Linked DNA regions of Danio rerio. Each later gene encodes a partner of the first gene's protein in a complex. Links are inferred from orthologs where the notes say so. Each region holds a gene or a part of one and is shown on either strand. Other genes may lie near its edges.

Evidence for each region. Proteins that work in one complex are often made in the same cells at the same time.
Region 2: lsm11 (region 1) and lsm10 share a complex: the UniProt entries of both Homo sapiens proteins name them as parts of the heptameric ring U7 snRNP complex. The link is inferred for Danio rerio from reciprocal best matches to the Homo sapiens genes LSM11 and LSM10.

The regions. Positions count from the first base shown.
Region 1 is NC_133189.1:39,991,909-39,994,788, reverse strand, and holds the end of lsm11 (U7 snRNA-associated Sm-like protein LSm11), read left to right. Parts: intron 1-1,852; coding exon 1,853-2,164; 3' UTR 2,165-2,271; downstream 2,272-2,880. UniProt on the Homo sapiens protein: Component of the U7 snRNP complex that is involved in the histone 3'-end pre-mRNA processing. Increases U7 snRNA levels but not histone 3'-end pre-mRNA processing activity, when overexpressed. Required for cell cycle progression from G1 to S phases.
Region 2 is NC_133194.1:4,215,311-4,219,404, forward strand, and holds lsm10 (U7 snRNA-associated Sm-like protein LSm10), read left to right. Parts: upstream 1-1,167; 5' UTR 1,168-1,240; intron 1,241-2,040; exon of another isoform or gene 2,041-2,123; intron 2,124-3,077; 5' UTR 3,078-3,083; coding exon 3,084-3,446; 3' UTR 3,447-3,523; downstream 3,524-4,094. Other genes in the region: protein OSCP1a, read left to right, coding at 477-596. UniProt on the Homo sapiens protein: Appears to function in the U7 snRNP complex that is involved in histone 3'-end processing. Increases U7 snRNA levels but not histone 3'-end pre-mRNA processing activity, when overexpressed. Required for cell cycle progression from G1 to S phases.

The DNA of each region.
Region 1 (2,880 bases):
TTCAAGTTTGTAATGTTGTGACAAATATGTAAGGTTTCTTGTTGGTTTTATTCATTAATTTTTTTTATTTCAACTGTGTATATATACAGTATATCCCTACTTTTGAAAGTAATGCATCACAATATTAAGTTGCAGTGGTCCCTCATTATACGCAGGAGTTACGTTCCAAAAATAACCTGCAATTGGCAAAACCTGCAAAGTTGTCCACTTAATTTTTTTTTTTTTACAATTTTTATAGGTGTTTTAAAGCTGTAAAACTCCTCACTACACACTTTATACAGGAAGGAACACTTTCATACTAGTCAATATTACTGAAATTAGTTTGAAAACTGAAAAAATATGCATTTACACCAGTAAATAAATAGACTCATTGATGGGCTGGAAATCTGCAGACATTTTTTGCTATTTGTGCTTAGAATTTTGTTAGAAATCTGAATTTTGAACTAAAACCTTAATATATGAACAAAAAAGTAATTTAACTTGTATTTAATGTTCACAATGCAAATCCAATTAGATCCACTTGGTAAACAAAGCAAGTCTCTCATATAATATCTCTACTAAAAGGCAGAACATATTACTTTACAAACTATATTTTAAATAAATCATTTGAATATTTTCATATTAGCCAATAATATTACTGAAATTAATTAAAAAACTGAATTAATATAAATTTACACAAATAAATAAATAAACAGACTCAATGAAGGGCTAAAAATCTGGAATTCTGCTCGCGCAGATGCCGTGTGGGCCTAGTTATTAGTTAAGTAAAATCACTGTCCATTGAGACAAAAATGAGAATACTTCCATTGCAGAATTATAAGTGTCTGGCTTTTTCATTTATGTCTGTTCCCGCAGGGAGAACATTCTCTTATTGACTCAACATAACTACATAAATTTTAGATATAAGTACTTTTTAAAGTTAACCCTTTCAAGGCAGGCGTTGCAGATTTGCAACAGTTAAAAATTAACTACCTTATTACTCCAGATACATATTTTATAAGTTTTTTTACTCAGAAGTACCACTGCAGGACTTGGTTGTCCATTTGCAACAAACAGTTTCCCCACTTGCTCACCAGATGACACGCACACAAAAAAAAAGTTTCTTGGAGTACCACATGTCAAAGTGACTTGGAAACATGACCTACTCGATGAGGATTTGAGATACTGGATTTAGATCCCATATTGTTTTTGTTGTTGTTCTGCCACTGAAAAGCAATTTGTTACATTGCTTAAAAAGTTGTATATATAAAATTTTTTTTATTAAAAAATTTGTATAAATTGTATAAAAAAAATATTTTTTCATATATTCAGTCGTCAGTGTCTAATTACCACACTGAGCCAATGTTGCAAATCTGCAATCTCCCAGAACGCCATATGATAATTTTCCCCAAATATCAGATTTTTCCTGTTTCTAAAAATTTATTTGAGCCTGAGAGGGTTAATTTAACTTAAAAGTAACTGGCTTTGCTTTTTAAATTATAAAGGTAACTCAAATATTATTACTTAATAATTTTAAGTAATGCATTACTTTTACTCTTTATTTAGCAATATTATTTCTTTCGTTGTAACATTATCACACAATTAGCGTTACCCCCAACACTGCTAAGAAAAAATTAATGTGAAATATATTTCCAGAATCAGTGTTACCAGTTGAAAAGAAAGCCAAGCTTGGGAAGCAGTTTCACTCAAATTTACACTACAACATAGAAGAAAACGCCATTACAACTAACATTTTGATCTTTAATCAACATTTAATTTTTACTGAAGGATTAAAGCTTTTTATTATTTATTTTTTTTACAGTTTTGAAAATAATTCTATTGCTTTGGAAATCTAATTAATCTTCTATTACAGCTATTTGAAAAGCTAAAAGTGCAAGAGACTGCAGCCCTCAGTGCCGTGGAGAGGAAGCAAGGAGATAAACTCTTAAAGTCAGACCCACGCAGCGGTTCATCTCAACTCAAAGACCAAAGCAGGAGATCCGACTCCAGACACAACAAGGAGAAACCCGAGCTCTCCGAGATAGACAAGAGTACATCATCAAGAGAGATGCAAAAACCTGAAAGCAGGCCTAAAGTGGAGTATGGAAGAGTGCACACGCGTCACGTCAATCAGCTGTTCATACGAGGAGAAAACGTACTACTTGTGAACATACAACAGGATTAAACACTTGTTTTGGAAATTACCCAGAAATGTTTTGTGTATCATATTGATATGTAAATCACTGAATGAAATTGTTAAAAATTGAGTAAAATAAACTCTTTTTAAATAGTGTTGGGTCAATTTGTTGATCTATTAAACAACAGACATACCGTTTGCTTTTGCATTGAATGACCTCTAGGGGGAAGTAAAACACTGATGCACAGTAAGCATAAGTCTATTTTGTTACACATTTTATAAATCATCAAGAGGAAATCTTAATACATTTATGAAATCATTTGCTGATATTCAAAGTGAAAGTCAATCTGTCAGTCTCACTGAAACTAAGGCTCGCCAGTAGATGCTCCTATTTTCATGTCACACTTAAATAGTTTTCTGTTAGGCATTTCTCTCTTTAAGTGCACAAATTGCAGCAGGTCTCTATGGATTTTTGGTAAAACCATATAAATGGGTTAATTGGGCTTTTTGAGGCTGGAAATTGCATGTGGCACTCAAGGCTTTTTTGTCTTGACGTCTGATTGTTATTTTCATTTGCTGCATACATTAACTATAATGGTGCGGTTTATTCAGTCACATGTCAATATGCATTGCTTCACGTCATTTTATTCCTACACTTGATACAAGACATTTTGCATTACCTTATTCAAGTACCCAGAGACTCGGGTTTAAACAGTAAGAGCGGGTCAGATTGCCCGCTCGATTATTATCTAACCTAAATAACC
Region 2 (4,094 bases), on another chromosome or scaffold:
AATCTATAATATTCCATGACGTGGACAAAAAAATAAATAAATAATACTGACTTTAAATGTCTGAAATAGACCTTTTAAATGTCTATGATATTCCAGAAACTCTATTACCTGTGGGAACCCTTAATACAAATGTAAAGAGACCAAATCATAGTTTTTTTATTATATTATATATCTACACTCTGTATTAATTACTGTATATTACTATATACTGGATGGATGGATGGATGGATGGATGGATGGATGGTTGGATGGTTGGATGGATGGATGGATGGATATGCAGATAGATAGATGGATGGATGGATGGATGGATGGATGGATGGATGGATGGATGGATGGATGGATGGATGGATGGATGGATGGATGGATGGATGGATGGATGGATGGATGGATGGATGGATGGATGGATGGATGGATGGATTGATTGATTGATATTTTGTTGTGGTTGTTGTTAATAAAAATTACCTTGGTATTACCAGGATGAGCTGGCCAGCACTGAACTGGCTCGCATAGCGGAAGAGTTTGATGAAGAGGGAAACCAGACGGAGGAACTGGGAAACAAGGGTGATGATTTGCTGGCCATGATGGATGAGCTCTAAAGGTCAGTCGCTATCAACAGTGAGTCAGAAAGCATGTGGCAGGTCTGAAAGGTCACAAAAAATATGCTCTGTTAGAAAATGCCTGACATATTTACTTTCATAAACATTATTAAGAACAAGCTGGAAGGCATATTCAGCTGTCATCGGTTCCCTTCATGGTTTTATTTGCTTCACACTTTATTTGAAGTGTTGTATTAACATTTTTCACTACTTTTTAATGATAAAACATTTAGTTTTAGTTTTTCATAATTTTCAAATAATACATGGTATGTTAAATACAGAAATGTAACGAACCTACATTTCAAACGAAGCTAACGTTATTCTGACAGGACGATGAAATTAAAATGTCGACTACAGCAGTCAACGCGTCTTAAAATAACAGTATATATCAACTCGCCCAACATATAGAAAGCAGCAGCATTTTAGGAGATAACTTACACTGAATTTAAAAACAAAAAGTTTGTAAACTAACCAGTTTCTCCGATTAAATATTGACGTTGTACACGTAATGAGCCACCAGAGGGCGCGCGAACGATTTTAATCCGGTACGTCTTGATGACGTAATTATCAGCTGCGACAAAGCGCGGTGCTCGAAACCATTAGGACGTAAACATGTTTTGAGCATGTAGACAACACCACGGAAGGTAATAAATGTTTTATTCACTCTCTAGTTCAGCAGCTTTTTATGAGTGGCTGTGGTTTTGTTAAAAAATTAAACAGTCATGTTCTCGGTTGAGTTGCAACTCTCGCGTGCTCCATTAAGTCGTAAAGGTTTCCTGTTCAGCTAGTTAGTAGTTAAGTGGATACTGTACACTGGTAAGTCAGCTACTATCCAGTGTGCAATCGTCATTTCTGCTTATTTCGGTATTTAACTTTGGAACCAATGCAGAGTCAGTATAAAATGCACAAAACCTTAACTACACACACATACATTAATAAATAAAGCTGCGGGTTAACTATGTTTATATATATATATATATATATATATATATATATATATATATATATATATATATATATATATATATATATATAAGCTATTGTTAAATTATTAGTAACTAATACAGTACAGTCACTAATATTATCTTTTCTAAATTTGATTGTAATGCAATAATTTGCACCTCTGAAACATTCATTATTGTGAAAAGGGCTGTACAAATAAGCCTGAATTGAATACTAGCCTTGGTATGCATACTATACTTATTGATTTAATGTTTAATATAATATAAAAAATTATCAAACAATTAAATAATAGTTGGCTAAAATTGGCACAAAAATCTTCCTACACATACACAAATAGACATATGAAGACATTAAAAAGTGCAAAAACGTATGGAAACATAATATATTATGTATGTATGTGTATGTTATGTTATTAACGCGGATTAAAATTCATTTAAAGACATTTGACAACATATTTCACATTTCACCTTTGTAAACAAACCTGCTTTGGATATTTTCTATCAATTTCATAAAAGGCGGTGTGCGATGTGTCTGTCAGCGGAGCCGTAAACCTGCAAGCATGCACTTGCCCACAACATTTAAATACAATTATTCAGCTTATGACAGACATTTTTTACATTTATGTGAGGCAACCATTTTCCATATACTTCTTTGAGATTTACAGATATACAGTTCTCAACATAATCGAGTACACCCCATTTTGAAAATGAATATTTTTATCTATTTCTTGGTGAGTATAGGGCATATATTTTGGTGCATTTGAACAAAACAGATTATATATATATATATATATATATATATATATATATATATATATATATATATATATATATTTAATATTTTACTTACAGAACATTTTTAGAAATTTTAGATTCTACATTCAAATTAATGTAAAATATTGAGAAAATAATTACAAACTACTTTTGGACTGTTATCATAAGTTATTTTGTTAGATTAGCTCCAGATTTGGCTTCAGTACTAACTAATACAATACATAAATATAATATTCATAAAGCTTCTTGTAGAAAACATTAATTTAAATGAGAGATCTGTGGGGCTGTACTTGTATATGTTAAGCACTGTATTTGCTGTAAAACATCTGCGGATTTATGCAGAATGATTTTAGGAGTATCATTACAAAAATCTTAATAAATTAAATAAAAATAATACTGTTTTAACTTGTATTTAATGTTTACAGTGCAAATCCAACTAGATCCACTTATTCGGTAAACAAAGTCTCTCATATAATATATCTACTAACAGATGGAACATATTAATTTACATACTGTATTGTACATAAATCATATGATAATTTTCATATTAGTCAATAATACTGAAATTAATTTCAAAATTGAATGCATATACAAAGTAAATAAATAGACTCAACGATGCACTAAAAATCTGCGTCATGCTCCACATGTTGATTCTGTGTGGGTCTAGTCATTACGTAGTATTATAATCAGATATTATATCACACAAAAGAAATCGTCTGATTGTTTATGATTATTTTGTGCACAGATCAACATGGACGTGAGCCATTCGATACGTGAACGCACCATCGCTGAGAACAGTCTGGTGATCCTCCTGCAGGGTCTGCATGGACAGGTGACCACAGTTGACCTGCGAGACGAGAGCACAGCGAGGGGCAGAGTGATAAATGTGGACGCTTTCATGAACATCCGGCTGGAGAATGTCCTATACAGGGACAGACGGGGACGCAAGTCGAGCATGGATGATCTCTTCATTACTGGCAGAAACGTGCGGTACGTCCACATCCCTGACCAGATCAACATTATAGAGACAATAGAGGCGCAGCTCTCCAAAATACACCGCGTGCGAAACTTCGGAGCGGGCGGTGGACGGAAGGAGTACTCAAAGAAAAAGTAGCTGATGCTTGCAGTGTGTTTTTGATGGGAATGCTCGTTGGTGAATAGTTTGTTTATATTAAAATGGTTTCTGGGTCATGTGGGAAAATGACTTGTGTTTATTTTGAGCGTCTCTGGTGGTTTGAGAATTACATAAGCAGATTAGTGAAATGACTATTGACTGATGAGTTATTTAATGTGGCGTTGTTTGTTTAAACTACACGCTTTGCTTTTTCCCATGTCAATATTGCTTAGCCAAAAGTACACGTATATTTAAGGTTATATGCAAATATTGGTACACTGATGCATTTAACACTTTGTTTACAGTGTAATGGGAATGTTTATTTTCAAAATTGGCGCTTTTAAATATTTGTAATGACTTCATGAGATCAAATGAATGACTATTAAATTGGATATCTCATTCATTTTCCTTCAGCTTAGTCTGATTATCAGGGGTTGCCACAGTGGAATGCACTGCCAACTATTCCAGCAGGAAGAGCCCCGTGCTGTTGGGGGGGGGGAGGGTTAGGACGATTCTAAGGACTCACACAGTTTTGGGGCCCCCAGAGACATTATTAGGGGCCCTAATGACCCCACCCCTTCCACTCTTCACTTTGGTCAGCAGCATCCTCCTCCTCACTCTTCACTGTCGTCCGTGCCCTCCCCTTTT